2 linked regions of the Elephas maximus indicus genome follow. The protein of the gene in region 2 purifies or fractionates together with the protein of the main gene of each other region. This does not show direct contact. Links are inferred from orthologs where the notes say so. Each region holds a gene or a part of one and is shown on either strand. Other genes may lie near its edges.

Region 1 (15,441 bases), on a different chromosome or scaffold from region 2:
CTATCTGAATAGATTATAGAATGGAATATTAACCTATCTGAAACCATGTCAATGAACTTTACAAAACCTGTTAGGTTAAAATCCATTGATCTAACCCTGAATGGGAGTTGGGATCAACTGGACGGCAGTATCATGGATTGTAATATCATGGACTATAGTATCACAGGTTATAATATCACGGCCTGGCCATTGGGTAATCTTGGTCCACTGAATCATGCATATGTTCCAAATGTTGACATATTTCATTCTACGCTATCCAAAAAGAGTCACACTCATCAATACCACCATGCTCTCATAAGAAAAGTTTCTTAAGTATTGGGAAGCTGTCAAGTTCACAGTGGCAGAAACAAGTTTTCCAAAGCTCTAATTTTCACTTAAAAGCTCAGATTTTATCACTGGCACAAATGCTGTCAGCTGTTTTCCTTGAAGTGACAGGCTTGCTTCACTCACCATAAGGACAGCGTCTGGCAAACACCAGGTCTGAGCACTCAGAGACTCAGGCTGCCAGTCCTTCTTTCAAGTGGGACCATGGCTTCCAGAAAGCAGCAGCCAGTTCAGCTCGCAACCCACGAGCACATCCCCTCAAGATCCTGTCAGGCAGGGTATGCAGCAGACAGGCTTATGGCAGCGCCCCTCGTCATCACACAAAGTACTAAAAAGGCAGGTAGTAAGAGTCAAAATTTAATAGCAAGAATACTTTTTCCTCCTTCATCAAGGACATTCTCAAGCAGAACTGGGTTTGTTGTTGTTGTTACCGCGAAGGCACAGCAGTGGAGAAAACAGTTGCTGATACAGCCCGGTGCCGCTGCCTTGTTTCATACCAAGATGCCAGCAGCTCCACCGCCACCGTCTCTGCACCATCAGTGCAGGTGCCAACACATGGGAAAGGCCAGGAGCATCTCAGTACTGCTCCGAAGGTAGTTCTAACCTTGCAGACCGCTGAACGGCCTCAGGAAAGCCCAGGAGACCATGGAGTGTACGTGGAGACAGCTAAGCTACACCAGTAGCATTATTTTCAGTCTGCGTAACATTGGTCTACCGCCTGTTTTTGTATCCCAGTCCCCCCTCCCCACATTATCATCCTGGTCTATATGACCTCTCCATAGCCTGAATCTTCCGGCTGAGACACTGGCTGCAGTTTGTTTTCTCACCAGGCTTTGTTTCTCCAGCTCCACTTCCTTCCACTGTTCACCATGGAGCTCTCGGCAAGCTATTTGCATCAAACCCTAAGTTTCCTCACCAATACCGTTGGGACAATAATCCCTCCCCAATTTACAGCTCTGTTGAGCCTTAAGACAGATAACCAGTGTGAAAGCCCTATGTAAACTATTCGCCTTTTCAGGAATCCATTTTTGTCGACTATGGGCCAGGCACTGTCCTATGTACTAGCATCAACAAGCTCCATGATAGAAAGCTTACTTCTGGGGCAGGAGGTGTGGAGAAAAATATCAGAGAAATAAAGAGTGATCAAGAGTGACCCAGAAGCTGCTTTAGATCAGGTGACCAGGGAAGGCCTCTCTGAGGAAGTGACCAAGACACTGGGTGCAAACAACAAGAAAAAGGCATGTGTGCAAACATCAGACGGAAGAGCACTCCAGGTTTTTTATCCAAGAAGCAGAAAAGGCAGGTGGGCCAGATTACCAAGGGCTTTGTGGACCATGGTTAGGCGCGTACATTCTGCTGTACGCACTGAGGAAGCCAGTGGAGAAGGTCAGTAAGGAGGTAACGTAGCTGACTCCATTTTTAAAAGATCACCCTTATCACTGTGTGAAGAACTGACTATAAGGCAAGAGTGGACGTGGGGGGCCAGTTCGGACGCTCCTGTGGTCACCCAGACAAGCAGTGATGGTTGCCGGACTAGGGTTCCACGGAATGAAGTACTCCAAGATACGTTTTGGAGGTGAATTTGGTAGGTTCTACTGATGAGCTGGCACTTCTGGGTGGTGCAGATGGTTAATGTCCTCTGCTGTTAACCGAAAGGTTGGAGGTTCAAGGTCAGAGGCACCTCGGAAGAAAGGCCTGGACATCTACTTCCGAAAACTCAGCCATTGAAAACCCTATGGAGCATAGTTCTACTCTAACATACATAGGGCCGCCATGGGTCAGAGTCGACTTGAGAGCAGTTGGAACTGATGAATTGGCTGGGACGGGGAGAGGGAAAAGAAAGAATTCAGGATAACTTCTAGAGTTACAGCCTTAACAAGTGAGTGAGTAACGGTGACCACATGTTCTGATGGACACAGGGGTTTCCGGGACAGGTCAGAACTAAAGAGTCACTCACTGGATAGAGATGGCGTTTAAAACCCTGTGCCTTGGTGAGGCCAGCTAGGGAGGGGCCTATGTAGAAAAGAGAAAGGGGGATCATGATCAAGTCCTCGGGCACACCAACACTCAGGGGTCAAACAGCAGTGGGGGCAAAGAAGGAGGAATTAGTGACGTAAGAGGAAACCCCGGAGTTTCGTGACGACACGCAAGCGAGGAAAGGGCTTCTTGAAGGAGCAGGTGGTCAGCTGTGTGGAGTGCTGCTCAGAGGTCAGAAAAGATCAGGACAGAGAGTGACCTTCAGATTTCCCAAGGAATGATGGCCAGGTCAAGGAGCCCTGCTGGCGCACAGGTTAAGCACTCGGCTGCTAACGGAAAGATTGGCAGTTCAAACCCACTCACTGACTATGGGAAAAAGGCCTGGTGATCTGCTTCTGTAAAGATTACCCCGTTGCCATCAAGTCAATTCCAACTCATAGCAACCCTATGGGACAGAGTACAAATACCCTATGGGGTTTACAAGGCTGTGAATCTTTACGGAAGCAGGCTGCCACATCTTTCTCCCATGGAACAGCTGGTGGGTTCAAACCACTGACCTTTCAGTTAGCAGTCAAGCACTAAACCACTACACCACGAGGGCTCCTTTCCCACAACATTACAGCTTAGGAAACGCTTTAGGGCAGTTCTACTCTGTCCTACACAGTCACTACAACTCAGAATTGCGTGAATGACACACAACAACGTTCTTAAGTTAAGGAGCCCTAGTGGCGCAACAGTTAAGACTTGGCTGCTAACTGAAAAACTGGGAGTTCAAACCTACCCAGCAGCTCCGCGGGAGAAAGAACTGGTGATCTACTTCTGTAAAGATTACAGTCTAGGAAACCCTATGGGGCAGTTCTACTCTGTCACGGGGGTCACCGTGAGTCAAAATCCACTTAACGACACCTAATGACAACAATGACCATGTTGAGCAGTCTCACCAGAGTGGAGCAAGGCCTAACTGGAGAGAGTGAGGGTGAGGAAAGCAGAGGGGTAATGCATGATATACAGTGTTACTATTTACCCTCACTCACAGGACAGCCTAACCACTTCACTGGCCAGGTAGGAGTTCAATGCATCTACTCTGCTTCCTCTGTGACTAATTCAAAGCACGGCTACAAAGCAGTGCTACTAAGTGTAGAGACAGCCAGGGGTTAGGGAATGTGCTTCTTCATCGTTTCATAGTTACAGCTCACGCACACACAAAGATATCGTGTGTCTGTCCGAGAGTTTTATTTTAGAGCAATTGCATCAAGCTCTTCTGACTCCACTCCACATGCAAGGCCGCAGGGCAACAGAGCTGTCTGAGACAGCTGTCCCCACCTGCCCCACTTTCCAGTGGGAAAACGAACTGTGAAAACTACTAAGTATCACAGGAAAGTACAAATGGGGGAGATACGTACACACCTGTTTTAGCCAGAGGTATCTGAATGACTCATTCTAAACTGCAATTCATATGTAAGTCCAGTTACTAGAAAATTACAAGTCAAAAGCACTATTCATGAATATAAGTATCATTCACTCCACACTGGAGAATTAACCAAGCAACAAATTTGATAATAACGGTACTAAACTGACAGTAACTGAAGAATTAAACCAGAATAACAACGGCATTTAAAAACCAGGACCAATTAGAACAAAACTTTTGGGAATCCCTACGGGCCTGTGCCGTGGCCTTGGAAGGATGTGGAACGCTGAGTGGCAGGTAAACTTCTTAGAGTCTTCCATAAACTTTGGTAAAGAAGTAAACTTTAGGACTCCATAACAACTCCAGTAAATAGGCCACCGGTAAGTAATTATTAATATACACACAAATAAAAGTCTGTGGAGTTACACATCAATCGCGGGAAGAAACAAAGATCGGGTTTGCATTTTTGGAGTAGTCAGTGGCCCACTGGCAGAACTGGTCTACACAGTTCCTGGTGTACTGCAAGTGGCCACACAGGCTTTTCAACAACGCCGCCCCTTAGTGGCCTGGACGCCTGTATGCAGACTCAGAGAATCGGAGCAGCTGCCTGTAACTAACACGGAGTAGAAGTCACATTCAGGTAACCCACTGACTGAAGCTGGTCCCACAGATGGGTCTCTTTTATCTAAGTTCATTCCAATGTTTAAAAATTGGAAGACCTGACATTAAAATTTAAAAAAACCCTTCTAGGGAAGGGATGGAGGAGGAAAAGGAAGAGAGATGAAGAGAAAAAGGGAGAGAAAGACAGGGCGGAGGTCCAGCTGCCCCTTCAGATTCCACACGTGCTCGCCCTCCCCCCCCCCGCCCACTGGTCTCACCCACCAGAAAACCCACCAAACACTGAGTCAAATGTCAGCTGCCATTTATCTTTTTACCTTGTGCCGGTATCCTTCTTATGCCAAGCCTGCCTCACTCATGTTAGTTACCTTCCAACTCTCTGCATCTTTTGAGTCTTCAACCTTTGTCCTAGAAGAATGCACTGAGAAGGTCCCTCAGGGTCTGACGAGAGGAAAGAGACTCTGAGGACTTTTTAGGATGTCAAACTCTCACAAACATAACTAAAAGTGTTAGCTGTTGATTTTTATCTCCTTTAAACAACTGCCAATGTAAGAGACAATAAACTTTCTCCCCTGGCTCCGTTTTAAGTAGCAATCTCACTAGTTACTCAGCCTCACAGAACTTTTCTTTCCCTCATTAGGGAATGTCTATTGTTCACAAATTAACATTTTAATTAAAAGGTCAAACCAAAAACCAAACCAAACCCATTGCCATCGGGTTGATCCCCACTCACAGCGACTCTATAGGACAGAGCAGAACTGCCCCATAGCGTTTGCAAGGATCGGCTGGTAGATTCGAACTGCAGACCTTTTGGTTAGCAGCCAAGCTCTTACCCACTGCACCACCACTGCACAACCAGGGCTCTGTTGTGCCACCAGGGATCCTTAAAGATGTCCATAAGTCAGACTTTATACTACCTCTCCCAGTGACCATTTATTTCTCTTTTTAAGCTACTTTTGAGTGAAACTCATTTCCCTAGCCTTTTAAAAATAAGCCAAATCAATAAATGAAGCACTGGTTGCTACTGACTGGCTAGCTAGAATGATCATAAATGGAACCTTACACACATCACATACTAGAAAACAGTAATCGCCTATAAACATATAAAACCCAAACCAAGTGCCGTCGAGTCAATTCCGACTCATAACGACCCTACAGGACAGAGTAGAACTGCCCCGCTGAGTTTCCAAGGAGTGCCTGGTGGATTCAAACGGCCGATCTTCTGGTAATAGCAGCCGTAGCTCTTAATCACTACGCCGCCAGAGTTTAGTAAGTCACACCACATTGTAACACCAACTTCCCCTTTTCACACCTCCGAAATGCTCAAATAAATAAAGGCAGCCTTGAAGGAGAAAATAAATTACAAAAGGACAAATTACAAGTGTGCGTAGATGAGATGGCCCCACGGTTTTGCACTGAAGACCGAGAAGCTAATAACATTGTTGACTAACCACACTCAGCACAGTTGGCTTTCTTCTTTCCACCAGTTGCTTGTGAGTCACTGCCCACCCACGCTTCCAGCACCCGTGGGAGCCCCTAAAGCCTGGACCCAAGTCCCAACCCGTCATACCCTGACCCCACTATCGAAGAAAGTCTGTCTCCAAGTTACACCAACACGAAACCACATAAAAGGTGCAAAGTTTGGATTCAAGACAAATTGTTTAGAAGAGGATGATGAAACTCATTGCAACTTTAAAATAATTCTACATTAATGTGTTACTAGCTGAACACTTTCCAATAATCTTGTTGCCTAGCATACTGTAGGACATCAGACTTCATCCAACTTGGGGGGGCGGGGGGAGTGAACCAACCACGTGGGTGCAAGTATCAGCTTATATCCCTAGTTATCTTTCCTCAAAGTCTGAAAAGCACAAAGTATATCAAAGAGCATGCAAATACTTGCAATGCGAGATTTTCAAATCTGCTTCACTTTTATTATCTGAATGAGAACTTAGTTTAAATTGAATTAGCACTACCCGATGAATAATTACTAAAAGAGCCCTTCCCATTTTCAATTAAAAACTGGAGTCTGAGATGCGTTTTGCCTTTTAGTTGACTTGCAACATGTTGGGGGCGGGGGGGGGGGGGGCGGGGGGAAGGGTGCTTCCCCAAGGACACTCTTGCTCTGAACTTTCCTCATTGGAAAAACTACCAAGATCCAGGGGTGCCGTCTGAATCCACTTACCCGATCCTTCATCCTCCAGCTCTGAGCTAAGGATTTGGAGCCTTCAATCTTCTCACAGTGCCTCTTTTTCATAAAAGCCAAAGGCAGGTTCCAGTCTGTAAGGTCGGCCTCATCTTCCTCCCCAAGTCCCAGAAGAGGCGACTGCAGCATCTCGGACTCCATCAGGGGGGGAGGAGGCGGGGGAGTCCTTGGCAGCAAGCGCTCGAGAACCTCCAGCCTTAAAAACTAGTGTGCACCAGATTTGGTGAAATAATAGATGAAAAAGGGGAGTAGAAAAGGGAATGAATGGAGCGTGTGCGGAGACCCTTACTCGGGCAAAAAGTCTTAGATCTTATCTTGACCCCTGGGCGGGAAGTCGGAGGGGGTTGGGAAGAGCCGGGGGAAGATGGGGCAACCCAAGGAGCTCTGCACAGACTCGCTCACCCCCAGATCCCAAGCCACTGGCTGCTTCTGGGGCTGTCCGTTCCCAGAGGAGCTGCGAGCGAAGCTGTCAAAAGCGTGAGCGACTTCGGGCCTTAAGATGACCCTGCTCTCGGCCTCCAACGCCTCAGATCCGAGGACAGGCAGGCCGCCCGCTCTTGGGGCCGGTTCGCCGACGGGGCTGAGGTCTCCGGCCGAGGGGAGTAGGTTTAGGACGCCTCGGGTCTCCTCCAGCCACTCTCAGCCTTGCGGGTCCCGCACTCGCCTGAGCTGCTGCAAACAGAGCCAGGATCGGCCCATCGTGCTCGCCCGCGGCCGGTTCCTCAACCCCGCGTCCGCGCGGCCTGGCTGGCCCTGGCCCTCGGCCCCGTGACTCTCTCCTGCCTGACAACGAATCCTGAGAAACGGGCGGCACGGTCCCCCGGAGAAAACGAGTAATGTGGGCTTATTGGGTTTGGGGAGCTTTGCCGTCTCGTTTGGAGCTACAGTAAAACTCTTCTCATCAGCACATCAAGGAGGACGCCATATTGCCGAGACCCAGAATGCATCGCTACCTACGGCGTGGCTAAGAGACAAAACTTACTCAGAGCGTTCTCGCCGCGGTTCTCTGGATACGGGGAGGAAAGGGAACCCCCGCCCCCGTTACCTCGGTTACCACCCTTCAGCTTCTCTCGGTTTATCGCCTGTCGTTCAATAGATACGTGAATGACGCTAAAGTCAATCCTTGAGATGATACCGTACTAAATTTATTAATTTTTAAATTTATTATTACAAGTGGAGCTACATGCTCCTGAAATTAAAGGAATCGAACACCTTATTGTTTCCTCCAGATTTGATTTTGAAAATGCAGCAAAAGCTTCAAAAAGAACCATCATCAATATGACTAAAGAAAGTTAGCAAGTTTTTTGCATGTTGAATCCTGCACAACATTGAGCACTTTTTTTCCCTCAGAGGAAACCGACTGAATAAATAATTTCGTCGTCTCCAATTTTTTATTGTCCATTTCGTTTTCTGAGCAGTGTATTCAGATGTTGTAGCTTCAGTTGCAAACGACTAAAAGCTACGTAGATCAAGCCTTCTGCGTTACTTTATTTCTCGATTTCAATTCAGTAAACATTGCTTATTTACAAGGTGCAGAAACTGTGTTGGGCACAGCAGGGAATACACAACTAAAGGAATCAGGCAGGCAGCCCTGCCTTCAATAAACTGAGTGTCTACTGGGAGACACACTTCTAACCCTTAGGTTGAGCAGAGCAGGATGCACCCTGTCTTAGTCCAAAGAGGCCTCCACTTGTCTTCCTCTCTGCGTTTGGGCTTTGCAATCAGTCACATCTGCATTTCAATCTGGGCTGCATCACTTTCTGTGTGACCTTGGTCTATCTTTTAAATAGCTGAGTCTTTATTTTCCTCAATTATAAAACAGGGATAATAATACCCACTTTGAAGGACGAAATTAAATCACGAAGGTGCCTATGGTGAGCACTCAAAATGTTAGCAATGATCGGTCCATAGCCAGAGTGAAATCTAGCAGCCCTGCCTTATTAATCTATTACCTCAGGTTTGGCTCTTGCAGATAGCCTGTGCTTCAGTGTGGCTTCCCAGAGCTTTGACACAATGTGGCAGTCCACATCAAAATCCTGATGACATTCCATGTTCCTTTTAACATTGGAAGTACACACAAAGATGAATGGTGCAATCCCAGCTCTTTCTCATCCAACACAAAAAAAAAACCAAAATCATTGCCATTGAGTCCAAACTGACTCATAGCAACCCTATAGCACAGAGTAAAACTGCCCCATAGCGTTTCCAAGGAGCACCTGGTGGATTTGAACCACCAACATTTTGGTTAGCAGCTGTAGCTCTTAGCATTACACCAACACCAGCACACAGCAAGCATTTAATAAAAGTTCTTGGATTAAACCATTACCATTCTAGACATTCGTTTGATTATCGCATCCCACTGAGTTGAGTTCTCCCCTTAAAACTCAGGGCATTTTCACTAAAACACAGAAAAGGGCTAAAGCCTTCCTGAAAGGAACAAAGGAACTTCCCCTGCCTTGTCACCCTGCAGCAGACCCTGGGGAAGGCAAGCCCCATTCCCCCAACCACCCACCCACCCCTGGGCTGCAGATAACAACTCCACTGCGGGCAATGCTGTGGGAGAGTGTCAGCTTTTTTATTTTTTTCTGGAACATTCTATCGTGGTTTGGGTGAAAGTTTACAGGACAAATTAGCTTCCCATTTAACAATTTATACATGTTTTGTTTCATGACATTAGTTGCAATCCTCTTGATGTGACGGCACTCCATCCACTTCCTCCCTAGGTTCCCCATTTCCATTCACCCATCTTTCCTGCCCATTCCTGCCTTCTGAACTTTTTTGGTGAAAATGCTGCCCTTTTGGTCTCCTACGGTTGATTATCCTGAGGAGCACTTTCCTTACGGTTGTTATTGTTCACTTTATAGGCCTGTCCATTGTTTGGCTGAAAGGTGATCTCCGGGAGTGGGTTCAGTTCCAGGCTTGAAGGGGGTCTAAATGCCATAGTCTTGAGAGTCCCACCAATCTCTATCAAACCACTAAGTCTGGTCTTTTATATGAATTTGAATTTTGTTCTACATTTTTCTCCTATTCTGTCCAGAACCTTCTATTGCTATCCCTATCAGAGCAGTTGGTAGTGGTAACAGGGCACCATTTCGTTCCCCTGGTCTCAGGCTAGCGGAGGTTGTGGTTCATGTGGTCCATTAGTCCATTGGATCAATTGTTCCCTTGAGTCTTTGATTTTCTTCACTCTTCTTTGCTCCAGATGGGAAGAGACCAACAGTTGTATCTCAGATGGCTGGTCACAAGCTTTTAAGACCCCAGATATTACCTTGTCTTTACGGACTATGTTATGCCAATTGACCTAGATGTACCCTGAGACTATGGTCCTAAACCCTCAGCCCAGTGACTCAATCCCTCAAGGTGTTTGGTTATGGCTAAGAAGTTTTCATAACTGTGCCCACTGTGTGCACTAATATATTCATGGATATATATGCAGCACATACAAATGCGTATGTAGAAATATCCTCTGTCAAACTTATATATGCTCATAGGTGTACTCCCATACGCAATCCCACACCTGTTCAGCTTACATATCTACCAATGTATCCACTCATATATTACTGTTTGCTATTACTGTTATCTCAGGATCGTGTATGTATATAGTATTTCCTATTATTGCCTTTTACTCTTGTGTACCTCTCAGTGTCTTTCTTTGCCTTGGTCATGTTGTGCTGACTTCCCCAATATTGTGTATTGCCTTTCCCTTCATCCAAGTTATTATGTGTCTAGTATCTAGTTAGTGGTTTTCCTCTCCCCACCCCCCCAATCCCTGGTAAAGATCAAAGGATGTTTCTATCTGTGTGAAAATCTTTTCTTGACTTTTTATAATAGTGGTCTCATACAGTATTTGTGCTTTTGTGATTGACTTATTTCGCTCAGCATAATGTCCTCCAGGTTCATCTATACTGTGGAATGTTTCACGGAGTCATCATTATTCTTTAACATTGTGCGGTATTCCATTGCATGCAGGCACCATAGTTTGTTTATCCGTTCAGCCGTTGATAGGCACTTGGGTTGTTTTCATCTTTTTGCTGTTGTGAGCAATGCTGCAATGAAGATGGATGTGCATGTATTTATTTGTGTCACAGCTCTTATTTCTCTAGGATGCATACCTAGTAGTGGGATTGTTGGATCATACGGTATATCCATTTATAACTTTTTAAGGAAGCGTCACACCGTTTTCCACAGTGGTTGTACCATTTTACAGCTCCACCAGCGATGTATGAGAGTTCCAATCTTCCCACACCCTCGCCAACATTTGTCGTTTTCTGTTTTTTGTTGATGTTTGTTTGTGTTTTGATCATTGCCATTTTTGCCAGGGAAGATGATAACTCATTGTTAATTTGATTTGCATCTTTCTAATGGCTAATGGAAGCCCTGGTGACACAGTGGTTATGAGCTCAGCTGCTAACCAAAAGCTGAAAGTTCCTGTCCTCCAGCCACTCCTTAGAAACCCTATGGGGCCATTCTACTCTGTCCTATAAGGTCGCTATGAGTCAGAATTGACACCGCAGCAACAGGTTTTGTTTGGGTTTTTTTTTTTTTTTTTTTAGTGGCTAATGGTACCCTTGGTGGCACAGTGGTTATGAACTTGGCTGATAACCAAAAGGTCGGCAGTTCAAATCCACTAGCTACTCCTTGAAAGCCCTATGGGGTAGTTCTACTCTGTCCTATAGGGACACTGTGTCAGAATCTCCTGGAGGGCAATGGGTTTGGTTTTAGTTTAATGGCAAATGATCACAACCATCTCTTCATGCATTTGTTGGCTGCTTGAATGTCTTCTTTGGCCAAGTGTCTGTTTATGTACTTTGTCTACTTTTTAATTGGATTGTTTCTCTTTTTGTTGTTGAGGTGTTGAAGTTTCTATAAATTTTAAAGATCAGTCCCTTGTCAGATATGTCATTGCCAAAAATTTTTTTCCAGTCTGTAGGTTTTCTTTTTATTCTTTTGGAGAAATCTTTTGATGCACATAAGTGTTTAATTTTTAGGAGGTCCCAGTCATCTCATTAATCTTCTGCCATCTGTGCATTTTTAGTTATGTTTGACAGTCTATTTGTGCCATAAATTAGGGCCCCTAGGTTTGATCCTATTTTTCTTCCATAATCTTTATAGTTTCAGGTTTTATATTTAGGTCTTTGATCCATCTTGATGTGAGGTGTGGATCCTGTTTCATCTTTCTGCAAATGGATATCCAGCTGCACCAGTGCCATTTGTTAAAGAGCCTACCTCTTCCCTGTTTAATGGATTTTGGCTCTTTGTCAAAGGCCAGCTGTCTGTAGGTAGATGGATTTGTTTCTAGGTTCTCAATTCTGTTCCATTGGTCTATCTGTCTTCATTGTAGCAGTACCAGGCTCTTTTGACTACCATGGCTGTGTAATAGGTTCTGAGATCAGGAAGTGTGAGGCCTCCTACTTTTGGGGGCTCTTTCCTTTCCATATAAAGTTGATTAGTTTTATCATCTCTTTAAAGAATGTTGACGGAATCTAGATTGTGATTGCATTATATCTATGGATCGATTTGGGTAGTATTAGCATTTTCACAATGTTAAGTCTTCCAATCCACGACCATGGTATGTTCTTCCATTTACGTAGGTCTCTTTTGGTTTCTTGCAGTAGTGTTTTGTAGTTATTTTCCTATAAGTCTTTTACATCCCTGGTTAGGTTTATTCCTAAGTATTTTATCTTTTTTTTTGGAGGGGGGAACTATTGTAAATGGTATTGTTTTCCTGATTTCCTTTTTGGAATCTTCTTTGTATAGAGGACTCCAACTGATTTTTTGTATGTTGATCTTGTCCCCTGACACATTGCTGAAACCTCCTATTAGTTCCAGTAGCTTTCTTGTGGAATCCTTGGAATTTTCTACGTATAGGATCATGTTGTTGTTGTTGCTAGTTGCCGTCAAGTCGGTCCCGACTCATAGTGACCCTATGCTTGAGCTCATTGTTGCAGCCACTGTGTCAATCCACCTCGTTGAGGGTCTTCCTCTTTTACGCTGACCCTGTACTCTGCCAAGCATGATGTCCTTCTCCAGGGACTGATCCCTCCTGACAACATGTCCAAAGTATGTAAGATGCAGTCTCGCCATCCTTGCTTCTAAGGAGCATTCTGGCCGCACTTCTTCCAAGAAAGATTTGTTCGTTCTTTTGGCACTTTATGGTGTATTCAATATTCTTCGCCAACACCACAATTCAAAGGTGTCAACTCCTCCTCGGTCTTCCTTATTATTGTCCAGCTCTCACATGCATATGATGTGGTTGAAAATACCATGGCTTGGGTCAGGCTCACCTTAGTCTTCAGGGTGACATCTTTGCCCTTCAACACCTTGAAGAGGTTCTTTGCAGCAGATTTGCCCAATGCAATGCGTCTTTTGATTTCTTGACTGCTGCTTCCATGGCTGTTGATTGTGGATCCAAGTAAAATGAAATCCTCCACAACTTCAATCTTTTCTCCATTTATCATGATGTTGCTCATTGGTCCAGTTGTGAGGATTTTTGTTTTCTTTATGTTGAGGTGTAATCCACACTGAAGGCTGTGGTCTTTGACCTTCATTAGTAAGTGCTTCAAGTCCTCTTCACTTTCAGCAAGCAAGGTTGTGTCATCTGCATAACACACATTGTTAAAGAGTCTTCCTCCAATCCTGATGCCCTGTTCTTCTTCATATAGTCCAGCTTCTCATATTATTTGCTCAGCATACAGATTAAATAGGTATGGTGAAAGAATACAACCTTGACGCACACCTTTCCTGACTTTAAACCAATCAGTATCCCCTTGTTCTGTTCGAACAACTGCCTCTTGATCTATATAAAGGTTCCTCAGGAGCACAATTAAGTGTTCTGGAATTCCCATTCTTTGCAGCATTATCCATAGTTTGTTATGATCCACACAGTCAAATACCTTTGCATTGTCAATAAAACACAGGTAAACATCCTTCTGGTATTCTCTGCTTTTAGGCAGGATCCATCTGACATCAGCAATGATATCCCTGGTTCCACATCCTCTTCTGAAATTGGCCTGAATTTCTGGCAGTTCCCTGTCGATATACTGCTGCAGCTGCTTTTGAATGATCTTCAGCAAAATTTTGCTTGTGTGTGATATTAACGATATTGTTCTATAATTTCCACATTCGGTTGGATCACCTTTCTTGGGAATAGGCATAAGTATGGATCTCTTCCAGTCAGTTGGCCAGGAAGCTGTCTCCCATATTTCTTGGCATAGATGAGGGAGCACCTCCAGCGCTGCATCGGTTTGTTGAAAATCTCAACTGATATTCCATCAATTCCTGGAGCCTTGTTTTTCGCCAATGCCTTCAGAGCAGCTTGGACTTCCTCCTTCAGTACCATCGGTTCCTGATCACATGCCACCTCTTGAAATGGTTGAATATCGACTAATTCTTTTTGGTATAATGACTCTGTGTATTCCTTCCATCTTCTTTTGATGCTTCCTACGTTGTTTAATATTTTCCCCATGGAATCCTTCACTATTGCAACTCGAGGCTTGAATTTTTTGTTCAATTCTTTCAGCTTGAGAAACGCTGAGCATGTTCTTCCCTTTTGGTTTTCCATCTCCAGCTCTTTGCACATGTTATTGTAATACTTTACTTTGTCTTCTGGAGAGGCCCTTTGAAATCTTCTGTTCAGTTCTTTTACTTCATCAATTCTTCCTTTTGCTTCAGCTGCTCGATGTTTGAAAGCAAGTTTCAGAGTCTCCTCTGACATCCATCTTTTCTGTCTTTTCAGTGACCGCCTGCTTTCTTCATGGATGATGTCCTTGATGTCATTCCACAACTCATCTGGTCTTTGGTCACTAGTGTTCACTGCATCAAATCTATGCTTCAGATGGTTTCTAAATTCAGGTGGGATATACTCAAGATCATATTTTGGCTCTCGTGGACTTGCTATGATTTTCTTCAGTTTCAGCTTGAACTTGCATATGAGCAATCGATGGTCTGTTCCACAGTCGGCCCCTAGCCTTGTTCTGTCTGATGATATTGAGCTTTTCCATCGTCTTTTTCCACAGATGTAGTCAATTTGATTTCTGTGTGTTCCATCTGGCGAGGTCCATGTGTATAGTCACAGCTTATGTTGGTGAAAGAAGGTATTTGCAATGAAGAAATCGTTGGTCTTGCAAAATTCCATCATTCGCCCTCCAGCATTGTTTCTGTCACCAAGGCCATATTTTCCAACTATTGATCCTTCTTCTTTGTTTCCCACTTTCGCATTCCAATCACCAGTAATTATCAATGCATCTTGATTGCATGTTCGATCAATTTCAGACTGCAGCAGCTAATAAGAATCTATTTCTTCATCTTTAGCCCTAGTAGTTGGTGCGTAAATGTCAGTTGGTACATGTCTGTCAGTTTGTCGTACTGTGGGGGCTTGTGTGTCGCTGTGATGCTGGAAGCTATGCCACTAGATTTCAGATACCAGCAGGGTCACCCATGGAGGACAGGTTTCAGCTGAGCTTTCAGACTAAGACAGACTAGGAAGAAGGACCCAGCAGTCTACTTCTGAAAAGCATTAGCCAGTGAAAACCTTATGAACAGCAGTGGAACATTGTCTGATATAGTGCTGGAATATGAGCCCCCCAGGTTGGAAGGCACTCAAAAGATGATTGGGAAAGAGCTGCTTTCTCAAAGTAGAGTCGACCTTAATGATGTGGATGGAGTAAAGCTTTCGGGACCTTCATTTGCTGATGTGGCACGACTCAAAATGAGAAGAAACAGCTGCAAATATCCATTAATAATTGGAAGCTGGAATGTACGAAGTATGAATCTAGGAAAATTGGAAATTGTCCAAAATGAAATGGAACGCATAAACATCGATATCTTAGGCATTAGTGAGCTGAAATGGACTGGTATTGACCATTTTGAATCAGACAATCATATAGTCTACTATGCTGGGAATGATAAC
Region 2 (15,325 bases):
TTACGTTATCTATAACATTAAGACTTTTCATGAAAACACTATCTTAAAAATCATGAAAGCTCATAAACAGGCTCACTTATTTTGAATTTAGAAGTTCTATAACTATTTCTGATTCTAACTTTACAGAACACCCAATGTAGGTAAAACAGATAAAGAGAATGAGTAAAGAACTTAAATTCGGCTTCTGTGGAAGACAACATCACAGTAAGGTTACTAAAAAGGCAGCTTATTTTAATGACAACGTAGGTAGAAATTTAGGAAGCATAGGAACACTGTGGGTTTCAGAAAATAAGGGGATTGTGGCACAAAATGTTGACTATATACTCAGCTGAGTTAATGTCAAGAAGCCGTGGTGGCACAGGGTGAAGCACTCAGCTGCTAACATAAAGGTAGGTGGTCTGAAGCCACCAGCCTCCCCACAGGAAAAAGATGTGGCAGTCTGCTTCCATCAAGATGACAGCCTTGGAGACCCCACGGAGCAGTTCTACCCTGTCCTATAGGGTCACTGTAAGTCAAAATGAACTCGACAGAAATGGGTTTTTAAGTTAATGTCAGTATGTCAAAGAAAACAAATGCACTTCTGCAGATTTGAAGGAGAAAATAACTCCACAATTGGAGACAAAGTGAAAAGAAGACCCCCTCATTAGGGACTCTATACTACAACAAAGTAGGCATCAGCTCTTAGAAAATGCCCAAAACCAAAACAAGAAACAATGTAGCCTGCTTCTTCCCTCTCTTCCCACTACTTAAAGAACTTGACCAGGTTTCCAGCTGCTACAGCTCCATCAGCTTCCTATTTTTCCTCATCAGGAAAGCAAGGTATAGACCAGGAAACAGAAAAGTCAAAGATTTCTCTGGCCTGTTCTCCTAATATAATTTTTCTAACCTGTTACCTTAATACAATTAAATCAAGCACACCCTCAAGTTTACTACATTTAAGGAGTCAAGCACCCAGTCCCGACATTCCTTTCTTCCCTGTTTATTGAGCATTGATTCCTTTTATAGCCAGCATAGGTTAAGTAACCGATAGCCAGTAATTTCCTAAATAAAAGGAGTGAGTGTCTCACACTCGTTTCTTGTTCATTAAATGAGAAAGAGTACAGAGAGGGACCACCAGAAATACCAAAGAATAACAGCTTTTTTTATAGTTTATAATCTAAAAGACACATTTTGTTCACCTTCAAATACACCTAGACAAATAACAGCAAAGGAGCCCTGGTGGTGCAGTGGTTAAGCACTTGGCTGCTAACCAAAAGGTCCGAGGTTCAAACCCACCCAGCAGCTCCACAGAAGAAAAGACCTGGAGATCTGCTCCTATAAAGATTACAGCCTAGGAAACCCTCTGGGCCAGTTCTACTCTGTCATGCCGTAGCTATGAGTTGGAATCGATCTGACAGTACCTAACAACAATGGAAACCCTGGTGGTGGGGTGGTTAAGAGCTATGGCTACTAACCAAAAGGTCAGCAGTTGGAATCCACCAGCCGCTCCTTGGAAACCCTAGGGGGCAGTTCCACTCTTTTCTACAGGGTCGCTATGAGTCCCAATCGACTGGATGGAAACGGGTTTGTTTTTCGGTAACGACGACACTAATAGCAAAAAGCGGGAACTGCACGAGTACATACTTTAGTGGGACCACCACTTCTCTGAGGCATGTGCAATTCAGCCTGGTTTGGCATGGCTCATGAGGGTGTGTTTTAATACAGAGGACCTTGCTATAAGGGAGATTCCATGCCAGAACAGTCCCTAGACAATGCATTACTATAATTACACAGCTTAACCAATACTGGAGATATCCTGATAACAGAAAATAATGTAATTGTAATGCAATTGTGAGAGGCTCCCTTCTCTAGAAACACGATTTAAGAAGACTAAAACCCATTGCCGTCGAGCTGATTCCGACTCATAGCAACCCTACAGGACAGAGTAGAATTTGCCCCACAGAGTTTCCAAGGGGTGCCTGGTGGATTTGAACTGCTGACCTTCTGGTCAGCAGTCGTAGCTCTTAACCACTACACCACCAGGGTTTCCAAAGAAAACAACTTAATAAAAATCACACTCTGGTAATCTTATACCATATGGTCACAGGCAGAAAGTAACATCAGAGAAATATCCATGGTAAGAAGTAAATGTTTATTGTCTAAAGTTTAAGCATATTCATTTGATGAATGTTTAATAAGCTCCTGTCATTTACCAGAACATTCTATTTTGAGCATCTACGAAGTTAAACATGAAATTTGTTCACTCCTAACATAATTTTAAAAGCTAAAATCTACACTCTATGTTCAAGATGTTTGATCACAGTAAAAATACACAAACAACCTAATACTCCCCAAAAGGATTACTTAAATAAGTCATAGTGTAATTAGTAATACTTACAAAGCTTTGTTATATAGTCAGGTTAAAAACGACTATGGAACTACACACAGTGTATTGTACATGCCTAAAAAGTAGATGCGTATTCACCAAAACGCTTATAGTAGTTACATCTAAGTGGCACGTTTACGGATGATTTTTAAACTTTATTTTTCTAGTTTTACCTTTTCAATTTTTCTATAATGAACATGCTTTGCCTCTGTAATTAGAAAAAAAAAATTAGTGCTGCTGAAATCTCCCTCTGAGAAACTTTTCTGTAAAACACCTATATCTTACTGTCAGGTAAGGTGAGCATAACAACAATTGTGAGGATGATGTGGGAATGGCAACCTTTCGTTCTGTTAGACATGGGGTAGCTAAGTAACTTCTTTAGAATAAAATATGTCATTATACACAAGCACGATTTTTCATTACTTTTCAGTACTTGGCAATTGTAAGATATGGCTTTAAGGGCATATAAGGAAGACAGTTCAATGTAAAGATCACAGTACATTTCGGCTTCCAATGAATTAGCAGTATCGACTCCAAATTTAAAAGGATTTCTTGGAGGAATGCATTCTACCAGCTGTAACACTGATACATGTATTCAAAGGAGGTTAATTAATCATTTATCCTCCCCCAATAAATTTACTGGAAACCCTGGTGGCGTGGTAGTTAAGTGCTACAGCTGTTAACCAAAAGGTCGGCAGTTCGAATTCATCTGGCGCTCCTTGGAAGCTCCATGAGGCAGTTCAAACCTGTCCTATGAGGGTCACTATGAGGCGGAATCAACTCGATGCCAGAAGGTTTTTTTTGTTTTTTTTTTTTTAAATACATTTATAACCAGCCTTTGTAAGAAAACAGAGGAAAATTGACTATTCATCACTAAACATCAAAACCTGAGTAAAAGGGGCAGTGAGAAACACATCTCTTTTAACTACTTAAAATTAAGAGTATCCTTAGTTTCAGGAGATATGAGCATGCTTTCCAACTACTGGCAATTTGAACCTAACTTCACCTGGCCCAGAGGTTCTCAGGCATTGGTGTAAGTGAGGACTGCCTAGAAAGTCTGCCAAATACAGAAACCCATGGCCCTAGCCCTCACCGACTGATTCAGAATCTTCAGGGAGCAGCGTCCAGGAACCCTTAAACGCCAAACAATCTGGCCCTTTCAAGTTACTATAACAGAGTAGAGATTTTACTTTAACAAATGTCTTCTCTCTGTCATTGTAAATTGTTCTAATATAGACTCTGAAATCAAGTTCCCAATGTAAATAATACTATAATCAGAGAATTACAATTCCATAACTCATATGCAATAATTTATCCATTCTTCCACTCTGTAATAGTCTCCAAACAACACTACAATTCAACAAAACCACACATACTTCAGAGCAAAGCCTAGAGGCACCTGTGCCTGGTGAGACAAAAGCATATCCGATCCACGGAAAAAATAGAAAGCAGATGTGACCCCTAGTATTTGCCCATTAAAAACAATGTATCCTAAAAATACATTTCCAAGTCAATGGAACAAAGCTGTTTATAAATAAAAAGGAACGTGGAGGTATGGGGAAGACAAGAGGAAGCTTCAGCAAGTTCAGTACCAAAAGCCAGGAAATAAGGCAGAACGCATGGGAACCGGGGACAAGGGCAACAGAATAAACGAGGAAATGAAAGAAGGAAAGAGCCCCATCCTTCGAATCCAAGCAGTTGGGGGAAATGAGCAGATGTTAGAGGAAAGTGACCTGAGCAGAAATGCAAACTGGAAAGGAAGTGGAAAGTGGTGTGGCTTGATGACATTAAGAAATAAGGGAGAAAAACCTGAGAAATTTAGATTAAATCAAATAATGGTATTGAACACATTTTGGGCATAGATGGAGGTGGGGTAAGACAGTGGAAAACAAATATTGCAAGCAAATGATTCTGAACAAAGCAAGCGTATCAAATGACTTTCCAGAGTAAAGATAATGGAGCAGGAAAAAGAGAACGGCACAGAGAGAAGAAAAATAGAAGAAAGAATGAGACTTTATGAGAACTGGGGCACAAGGTATAAGCAGTAGGAAGGAAAGAGCTTAGAGCAAAGTCAACAGAATAAGGCATATTATTAAATTAATAATTATAAAGCACAGTTATTCTAGCATAACCATGACCCACTGCTGTCGAGTTGATTCTGACTCACAGCGACCCTGTAGGACAAAGCAGAACTGCACCATAGGGTTTCAAGGATGTAAGTCGTTACTGAAGCCGACTGCCACATCTTTCTCCTGAGGAGCCACTGGTGGGTTCCCCCCACGACCTTTGGCTTGGCAGCCTAGCACTTTAACCAGTGTGCCAGCAGGGCTCTTTAGGATACAACTGGGCAGTTCTACTCTGTCCTATAAGGCCACTACGAGTCAGAATCATCTCGATGGCAATGCGTTCTTATTTTTTGTAAAGTAAAACAAAGTATATTACTTTATGTAATAAAACACCAAATACAAAATGCAATAAATTTTATGTAATAAAAAGCGACATGCAAATAAAGCTAATCTGAAAAGGTGATGAGAGGCTGAATAACGCAAAAAGAAGCTGAGAGAGGCAAGGACTAAGCAGACTAAAGTGAAAAATGCAAACTGGGACGAAAAGGACTATAGGGGAAAAAAAAATCATCAAGTCAACAGAAAATGGGCAGGAATAAGAGGGGAATGCACAATGGAAAACCAGCCCAAAGTGTCAGCAGTGCAAGGGTGACAACAGACAAAGTGTGGAAACTTGAAAGAATCTTGACAGGGCCCGGGATCCGGAGAGTAAGTGGCTCCAAAGTGTCCAGAGGACCGGAGAAGACAGTAACGTGCTGGAGCAGCGGAACGGCGGCAAGCGCCTCCAGAGGGCTCAGGTAAGACAAGTGGAAGACGGACTCAGGTAGCAGCCGAGGTTAGAGGCGGGCAGGTCCCAGCCGGCGGAGAGCGAGCGGGGAGGCGGATGACACTGGGATGGGGGTCACCAGCCTGCCTGAGACATAGACGGAAAACACAGCGGACGGGGTGGGGGGGGCTTGGGGCTGAAAAAGTAAAGTCGAGGTGAACACCCCCGCCGAGCAGAAGAGGTGAGCAGAGAGCCCCGGGCGGGCAGGAACGCGGGAGGGCGGGCAGCGGCCTGAGCTGGGGGCAGCCGGGCGAGCCGGCAGGGAGCCGGGCGCCCCGTCATCCCCCCTCCACCGAGAGCCGCCCACAGGCGCCGCTCGGCCCGGGGTCCCGCCGCTCGGCCCGGGGTCCCGCCGCTCGGCCCGGGGTCCCGGCCGCACACGAGCCCCCTCCCCCCACCGCGACAACACCTCACCGACGCGGCCGGCCACCTCGCCAGGCGTGACCTTCCCGGCAGCCCGGCTCTCGCCCCCTGCCGACAGCCTCCGGCTCGGCCCGGCCGCCCGAACCCCCCGAGCTGGGCCGGGGCCAGGGAAGCGCCCCGGGCCGCCCTGGGTGTTGACGTCGCGGAGAGCGGCCGGGCCGCGGGCACCCGGCGATGCCCGCCCGCAGCCCCGCGCCGGGGACGAGGCGGCCGAGGGCGCCAGCCCCGCCGCCGCCTCTCCCGGGCCAAGCCCAGCGCCGGCCGGCGCCGCACTCACCTCCTCGGGGATGGCAGGGTCGGCGGCCGACGAGGCCGCAGCGCCGGCGCCCGCCTCGGGATCCATGTCCCCGTTGAACAGCGCCGGGCCCTGCTCCGCGCCGCCGCCGCCGCTCAGCGCCGCCATCTTACAGCCGAGCGCCGGCGAGCGCGGCGGCCGGGGGGCGGGGAGGCGGAGGGGCGCGGGGCGCGGCGGGGGCGCCGGCCGGCCGGGCGGGGGGCGCTGGGCCTCCGCAGGTACCCGCCCGCGCGCGGCCCCGGCGCGACCGAGCCTGAGGGGATGGGGGAAGGACGCCGGCGGGGGGCGGGGAGGGGGCGGAGACGAGGGAAGTCGCCGCGGCAACGGCGTCAGAGCGTGTCACGGCCGTGACGTCACCCGCGGGCGTGACGTCATCGCGGGCGCGCCGTCGCGGGGCGGCTCCTCCGCTCTCCGCCCTCGCGCTCCGGCTTCCTGCGCTCGCGGTTCCCATGGCTGCGGCTTCCGCCTGGGGCGGGTCGTCTCCGCCGGCAGCCTGCTGTGGAATGTGGGCTCCTGCCGGAGAGCAGGGCTGGCTTTGCAGGAGAAGGCGCCCGAGTCCTGCGGGGAGGGCGCCGGGAAAGCCCTTGCGACTGGGCTTGTTTCCATTACAACGGAAGGAAGGCTCCGGGTTATAAAAATAAAAAAGATTGTAAAGCCCGAGGCTGAGTCAGCCGGGCAGAATTCGATAGAAATGTGTTTAGAAACAGCTAAATAATCAGTATGGCGCTTGGACCCTTTTGATAAAAGGATTTGACCAGTTAGTTGGAGCTAAATGGAAGTCTAAACATTTTTTTTTTCATCTTTGAGGAATAAAACGTTTTCCTTTTGTGTATTTTTCATTTTCCAGGTTCGTTCATTTAACACTCATCAGTTGGGCACTTTCCATGTGCTGGGGCCTGTGCGACACGTGGACATCTGAAGCATGAAAGCTTTAATCATTTTTATTTTGAAGAAAATCATTCAAAGTATTTTCTGTGCTTTTGTGCCTGTTATGAACAGAATATATACTAAGGCAGTCTGTGCCAATTGTTGTGAAAACATCTGGGAGGGAAGAGGTAAAATCCCGTTGAGAAGACCAGCTAGAGAATGGAATCAGTTAAGTCCAATTCATTACTAAAAGTGCCTTTATTGAAAAGGAAGGGGGATCATCAGTGTTCATTGCAGCGTTATTTACAAGAGCCAAAAGGTGAAAACAACCCAAGTGTCCATCAACAGATGAGTGGATGAACAAAATGTGGTATATCCGATATAAAAGAATATTATTCAGCCTTTAAGAGAAACGAAGTTTTGTTACATGCTGTGATCCGGATGAACCTTGGAAAAAACATGCTGAATGGAAAAAATCAAACACCAAAGGACAAATACTGCATGGTCCCCCTTATAGGGAATAGCTTATTATTGTTGCTAGGTGCTGTTGAGTAGGTTCTAATCCATAGCGACCCCATATACAACAGAAGGAAACATTGCCCGGTCCTGTGTCACCCTCACAATCATTATCATGCTTGAGTCCATAGCCACAACAGGCAGATGCATGGAGACCAAAGCAGGTTATTGGATACCAGGGGACGGGGGAGGGGAATGGGCAGGTATTGCTTAATGGCTACCAAGGAGATGATGAAAAAGGTTTGCAAATAGTGGTTGCACAGCACAGCGAAAGTAGCTAATGTCATTGAACTGTACACTAAAATGGCTAATTTTATGTGTTATATATTTTGCCACAATAATGTTTTTTTTTAAAAAGGAGGACCAATTAGTTTTAAAAAATGTTTTAAGAAAGGGAGAAACAGGAGTGAGAAACACAGTAGAAGTTACTGTGGGCTCTCGATGGTGTGCAAATAATCACTGAAGTAGCCTAAGCATATAATTGAAGAAGATGTCAAAGGAAGCTTGAGTGGACTCTGCCTTTTTGTACTTTTTGCGAGGGGGGAGTTCACCAGTGACTTCCTTAATGTGTTCAAGATGACTGAGGAGATAGAAAACCAACCTGTTGACTTCTGAAGCTCGATACCTGCATATTGATAGGGTCACCACGAAGCCAGGAGCTGATCCTTACTTCTGGGGTGAGGCTGATTGATTGATCAGAATATGACTATTCCTCCACGTTGAGAAATCGTTGTTCTTAGTTGCTGTTGAGTCGGTTTTAACTCATGGCAACCCCACATACAAGGGAGCAAACCATTGCCCAGTCCTGTGCTGTCTTCAAGATTGTTGGCATGCTCCTGTCCATTGTTGTGACCAGTGTGTATTTTGAGCGCCTTCCAACCTAGAGGACTCATCTTCCAGCACTATATTGGACAATATTCCATAGGGTTTTTACTGGCTGATTTTCAGAAGTAAAGCACCAGGTCTTTCTTCCTAGTCTGTCCTAGTTTGGAAGCTCTGCTGAAATCTGTGCACCATGGGTGACTGCTAGTATTGGCATAGCTTCCAGCATCATAGTGACATGCAAGCCACCACAGTCAGAAGACACATAGGTAATGGTTACCTGCAGTGATGACTCCTAGATCTGTATAACAGTCTAGGCGTCTCCACCTGGCCTAAACCTTCAGTATCCAACTACTATGCTAAGTGCCCACCCCTGAATATCACAGTCATGATAACTTGACATGTCCCAGCCAAGGTCTGCAAGCCCCACTGCTGGCCCAACAGCTGCTCATCCTGGATTTTTTTCTCACTTGGTGGCACCTCCTTCCTTGTTTGTCATGTTTTTATTGTTGCAAAGATGGGTGGCACCACCTTTGGATTTCCTTATTTAAGGATAAATACTAATTCCATATTTAATTCTCTGTTGCAAAAAACAAAAATCTTTGCGTTGATCCCTGTAATCTTTTTTAATGATTGAATTCAGCTGCTTCTGAAGTTTTTCAACAACAGGTTGGTAAATGGACATATATCTCTCTTCACCTTCTCATCTTTTCCATATTTGGTGCCATCCTCTGAAGGAAAAATCTGGATTTTCCTGCTTTTAAAACTCTTTTATTAATTTACTTGTTGGCTACTTCTTCCACCATCTTTTTTCCTCTTGGATCTGAAGTTCGAGTTTCAGCATCTGCCATGACCAATAATCAACTTCTCTTTGCTTTTATTTCAATGACTCAATTTTAGATCACGGAAGTCCACTGTTAATTTAACGTTTTAATAAATAAATACCCACTTTAGGTTACTGGAGTATGTGTTGATCACAATTATGTATTTTGTATATTAGAGTAACATAATAATAGCATTTGGGGTCAAATATCCTAGTTATTCAGGCTTTTTATCATGTATGAATGGAGCCCTGGTGGTGCAGTGGTTAAGAGCTCGGCTGCTAACTGAAAGATTGGTGGTTCAAACCCGCCAGCTACTCCACGGGAGAAAGATGTGGGAGTCTGCTCCCACAAAGATTTACAGCCTTGGAAATCCTATGGGGCAGTTCTACCTATAGGGTCCCTATGAGTTAGAACTGACTCGGGGGCAACGGGTTTGGTTTTTTGGTTTATTATTGACACAGTGGCTGCAACAATGTACTTAAGCATAGTAAGGACTGTTAGGATGGTGCAGGACTGGGCAGTGTTTCATTCTGTTGTACACAGGGTCGCTATGAGTCAGAACCGACTCGACAGCACCTAACAATAACTACAACAACATGTGTATATATGAGCATGTCTCTCCTGTGTGGTTTTGCAGGTGGCACTTTTCACATAAGAACTTCTCTTGCAAGAACATAAACTTACCCTCCCTGATTTCATATGGGACAACCATTCACTCTCTAAGAAAGGTTATTAACTGCTAGAATAGTGTAAGCAGTTAGATGTTGGGAAATTAAGGAGCCAGGAACGCTGTGACTTTAACAAGAAGACTGAATAGTCTATCATTTTGTATTTCACCTTACTGAGACACGTAGTGGTTCTGGATGAGGCTGGGCCCAAAGGCTGTGAAATGGTGACGACAAGACAAGGCCAATGTTGTCATTTAGAAGTTCTCAGCAGGAGGCTGTGGCCATGGCAGCCAACCAGGCTGGGCTCAGCCAGAAGCGGAATGTCACAATTGTTGGTCTACAGGGTCTTGATAAGTACGTACCGCAGCTTCGTGATATTACAGGTCTCTTAGTATAGAGATCAAGGTCAAAACTCCCAAACCTACATGGAAGCATAGAGAGGGCTCTAGCTAAAAATGAACAAGCTAAATGTAAAGCCGACACAGTAAAGTAAGTCTCTTGCTTCAATAACCGACGTGGCTGAGGACCCGAGTACCTGAGCACCTGAGAGGAGGATCCTCCACCTTTTGAACTTACTTGTTTTTACTAAGTCTGAAGACATTTGTTTATTCCGCTCATAAGTGACATGCCTGTTACCAGGTGTTTGTGAGCTGGAAACAACATTAAAGTTTTCTTTAATACTGGGGAACATCGTGGACAACGCAGAACTAGAACAATTACTTCCAGACCACTACAACTTGTCCTTGAAATCTGACATCACCAGACGGAACTTTGCAGAATGATGGGAGCTGTCATGAAGCTAACTTTTTTTTCTCTGTTCCTGAAGACCTATTGCCTTGTCAAGTTTTCAGCATACAGGTAACTGCACATCTTTGAATGTGATTTATTTAATTACTCTCCATGGGAAAATGGGTCATAAGAAAGTAGTTTGGGAGATATTAAATATGCCTAGGAGCCTAAAGTTTTTTTTTTTAATTAAAAATTATAAACCATTATCTGTTTCTAGAATGGACCTAGGTATAAAACAAGTACCCAACTCTCTCCCCCACCCCATATAAATAAATAAAATCACCATTAAAATAATCACAGATAATAAGTGTTCTGGCTTAGATGTTTGCTTCCTTGTCTTTTTTTGGATGAGTTGGAAAGAGAATATGGAGATGTTCGTATACTATGTACTGAGACAGACTAAACTATGAAAAAAAAAACTATAACAGCTGCTTATTTCTGCGGCAAAGGTAGATCCTTTTGTTGCAGGGGGCCCAGTGTTGAGAACCAATGGAGAGGAGAAGCTCATGAGACACTTTGGTGACAGACCCTGTGAGGTCTGGGCTTGAGTACCTGTGAAAAAAGTGTCCTGGGTTTAGTGAGAGAGCCTTTGTCCCCGCACCTGTATGGAACCCACCCCTACTCTGGCCTTGTGCAAACAGCAGCTCTGGGCACAGCAGAGGCTGCATTCCACGTGGGAAGCATGAGAGGTGGTCTCAGCATGAGCATTCCTGATCTTCAGACAGGTTCAAGGGCAGTGAACAAAGGCCAAGGGCAGCTGACATGGCAGAGGAAGACCGTGGTGGATCTAGTGAATACCTGGGGTGCAGGGCACACGATTCCAGGGACACCGTTCACACTTGGTTGAATGGCGTTTTTGTTGGTTGCCATTGAGTCTGTACAGCAGAAGAAAACGTTGCCAGGTCCTGCACCATCTCCATGATTGTTGATATGTTTGAGTTCATTGTTGCCTTCCAATCCAGGGCAGCTCATCTTCTGACTAGATTGGGCAATATCCTGTTGCAATCCATAAGGTTTATATTGGCCAGGTCTTCCGTCCTAGTCTGTCTTTGTCTGAAAGCTCCACTGAAGCCTGTCCACCATGGGTGACCCTGCTGGTATTTGAAATACCAGTGACAAATTGACAGGCTTTTACTCATTGTGAATATCAGCTGTGCTCAAAGGGGTGACAGTCATGCCCCATGGGGATGGGCAATACGGCTTCCTGTCCTGGGAACTATCCCTTTTGTAAACTCCCGTAAATAATCAGAGGCTGCTTTCCATGGCTGCTGAGTTTTCAGTTGATGTAGCCTCATTGCACACATATGGCCTGATATCAATCACCCGGGCATCCTGGCACTTGGTGCTATGCCACCCCTGTCAGAGACTGTTGTGTTGTCTTATGGCAAGGGCCAGGCTGAAGTCCTAGCAGTGTTCCGGAATCAAGTGAATTTGGAGGACTGGTGGGACACACCTGCCAGTAGCCTATTTGCATGATGGCTTGAACCACCTCGTAAGGTGATTCGACAACCATGAACCAGCGTTGAACAGAGTGATTCTCAGAATAGCAAAGCATGGATCATCGAGATTGGCCTCTGTTATAACAGCCCTCATTTGTACCCAGGTCTGGAAGTAAATCTGCAAAAAGGGCAGATTTAACTTAAATCTGTTCAGTAGGGAGCTTACGGCAAGCCCCAGTAGAGAGTACAGGCCATTCTGGAGCACGGCCAGGTCATCTGCAGCAGAGGACACTCCTGAGAAACCTTTTCTGGAGCATCACTGGGTCCTGACAGAAACAGAACGCTGGACGATGGGGAACCAGGGGCTATGGGTCCAGAAATGCCCTTTCCGGGTTTTGTCAGACCTGCCATGTCATAAAGTCACACAGGCCAGGCAGCGTCCATCATAAGGTGGAAGTGGTACATTTGGGATCAAACCTGAGCACGGCCCAAGGGCTTAAGGAAGCTGGAGGAACAGGCAGCCGAGACCCCCGCATCACCGACCACATTGCACAAGTTCTGTGGCTGTATTGGGCAGGGGAGAGGGGTGTCCTGTAAACTGAGCTAAAGGAGGAAGGAAAACTCAAGCTTGGGTCACCAGCATGTCAGCTGGGTACACAGGTACAAGCTGAATGGGGTGCAGCTGCATTATATTCACATTTAGGGGTGGCCTTGAATAATATGGAAGAGGGAAGATCTTCTCAATAAGCAAGGTTGTGAGTCGTCCAACTGGTCGTCTACTCTGTGTGGAAGGAGCAGTGGCCCAAGTTGAAAACAGATGCAGATTCCTGGGCCGTGGTCAATGATCCGGAGCCTAGAAGGAAAGGGGCTGACAGGTCAGAGACGAGGAGGTCTTGGGTAGAGGCATGCGGACAGACATACGAGAGTTGACATAGAGTGTGCAAATCTTCCTATCGAATGCTAACACCCACCTGAGTGCATCCACCGTGGATAAGGCACTAAACAACCAAATAGACAAAGTGATTCTGCCTGTTGACGTCAGCCAGCCTGCCCCAGGCCGTCTCAGCAGTTAGCCAATGGATGCATGGTCGAATTGGCTATGATGGCAGAGACTGAGGTTACGCATGAGCCCAACAGCATGGGCTCCCACTTTCCAAGGTGGCTCTTGATCCTGCTACCACTGAACATCCAACCTGCCAGCTACAGAGGATACGGCACCATTTATTGGGGAGACCAGTTGGCCACTTGGTAGCAAGTTGACTACAACAGGCAATCTTGTTTTTCTAACTCAGTAATGCGTGTGGTAATCCCTCAGAGTCAACTGGTAAAGCTCTAATTTATTTGTTTTTTTGTATGATGAACAAAACTGAAGAAAACAACCTTAAAGGTATAATCTTACTTCTTGATGCTTTACTCCTCATGATATAAAGCAGGTCTGGCCTTGCTTGAAAAAGGGTAACAAGTAAATGTAATTTGAATAGATATGGCCAGAGTGTTTTCCAAAAAGGCTCTAATACTCCCCATTTCCACCGGTCATGTATGAAAATCTCCTTCTCCCCACATTGCTGCCAAAAATAGACATTACTGCTCTTTCTAATTTTGATAGATTTAAAGTGATATCTCATTGTTACTTTAATTTATATTACCCTGTGGTGAGTTTACTGTGCTTTTTATATGTTTATTGGTCATTTTAATTTCTCTTCTGTGAATTATCTGTTTACATCTTTTACCACTTTTCTTTTAGTCTTTTATGCTCTCTTGTCTCAGTTTATTATATATAACTATTATATATTATAGTTATTAATGTCTCTCTGCTGTATTATATTTTCTCTCAATCTACCTTCTATTGATTTTGCTTATGATATCTATTCAATATTTATATGTACAAAAGTGTAAATATTAGATATAGTCATTTATGTCTATTTTTTCTTTTATAGTTTCTGGCTTTCCAGTCTCCCTTCCCTATAGATTAAGTACATGTTTTCCCCAAGGTTTTTGTTTATTTGACTGATTGACTTTTAAATTTGTTATCCATCTGTAATTTATTTTTCTATCTGGTATAACATAGAGATCTAAGCTTATTTTCTTTTAAATACATAGCTAGTTGTGCCAGCACCTGTTATTAAATAGTTTATATTTTTCCAGGAGATTGAAACTACCACCTTTCTACCACGTGTCAATTTCCATGTATAAATACTGAGATCTCTTTCTGGATTTTTATTCCATTTCATTGATATGTTTGTCTAATCTTATAGAGTTCAATAATGATAAGTTACCAGCGAGTTCTAATATCGGATAAATCTTTTTAGTGTGTTGTAATATGTGGCACCGAACCTGGCAAAGTGGAGGGCCAACAAAAATGAGAGAAGCTCTCAGTGAGATGGACTGACACGATAGCTGCAATATGGACTCAGTATGGACCCAAACATGCCAACGACGGTGCGGGTGCGCAGGGCCAGGCAGCACTTCATTCTGTTGTAGGTAAGGTCACCAGGGGTCAGAGCCGACTCGATGGCAACGAACAACAACAGCATCTGGGAAGTCTCCCTTCGCTGCTTACTCTACCATTCCCGGTCATTTATGTTTCCATCTAATTTTAAAGACGTTTTATTTAATTCCAATTTCCTACCCCCACCCCATTAGAGTTCTAATTGGAATTTCATTAAATTTATGCATCAGTTTGGGGAGAATTGACTGTTTTATTTTAATCCTCTCATCCAAGAATATGGATGTTTTCCTTTTTTTCAGAGTTTGCTTTCTGTCCTAAGATGTTATTTTTTCTTCGTTTAAATTGTGCCTTTCTTGTCAGATTTATCTCTATTTAATTTAGATGCTTTTCTCCAGTGATGAAAGGGATATTTTACCTCATTTCCTTTTTTAGATGCTTATTATAATCGAGAAAAGCCCTTTTGTTGTATAAATATCGTGTCTTCACTCATCCTATCAAATTCTCCTATTAATTCCAGTCATTTTTTTTTTTTTTTAACCAGCGTGTCTTGAGTTTTATCTCCTTTTATTGCTAATATTTATACCATCTGTCTTGTCGGAATCGACTCGATGGCAATGGGGTTTTATGTCTTGTCTTAGCAAATGTTAATAATTACATTATGTAGCATTTACAGACATGATCATATAGTTTTCCTCCTTAAATCTGTTGATTTCATGGATTGTATTGGTAGATGTCCTATACTCGAACCACCTCAGAAGAGCACTACTGTATTACGTAGCTGTGTAACTTGGGAATTGTACATCCATATTCATAAATTTGGAAATGTGCATCTATACTCACAAATGAGTCTACAGTTTCCTCTTTTGTAATACTGTCTTTAGATTTAAAGTTGTCTGACTTCATAAAACGAAATGGAGAGCTTTCTAGGTATGTTTTTAATAGCCGAGACTCAGCTGGGAACCCATCCTGTTCTGGG

What was found.
Region 1: the proteins of BRAF (region 2) and RPTOR purify together in Homo sapiens (affinity purification with mass spectrometry; 3 studies listed by BioGRID and IntAct, with this or other methods). This does not show direct contact. The link is inferred for Elephas maximus indicus from reciprocal best matches to the Homo sapiens genes BRAF and RPTOR.

Annotation. Positions count from the first base shown.
Region 1 is NC_064837.1:70,451,925-70,467,365, reverse strand, and holds the start of RPTOR (regulatory-associated protein of mTOR), read right to left. Parts: upstream 7,482-15,441; 5' UTR 6,675-7,481; coding exon 6,513-6,674; intron 1-6,512. UniProt on the Homo sapiens protein: Component of the mechanistic target of rapamycin complex 1 (mTORC1), an evolutionarily conserved central nutrient sensor that stimulates anabolic reactions and macromolecule biosynthesis to promote cellular biomass generation and growth.
Region 2 is NC_064826.1:9,578,490-9,593,814, reverse strand, and holds the start of BRAF (serine/threonine-protein kinase B-raf), read right to left. Parts: upstream 6,131-15,325; 5' UTR 6,084-6,130; coding exon 5,958-6,083; intron 1-5,957. UniProt on the Homo sapiens protein: Protein kinase involved in the transduction of mitogenic signals from the cell membrane to the nucleus. Phosphorylates MAP2K1, and thereby activates the MAP kinase signal transduction pathway. Phosphorylates PFKFB2.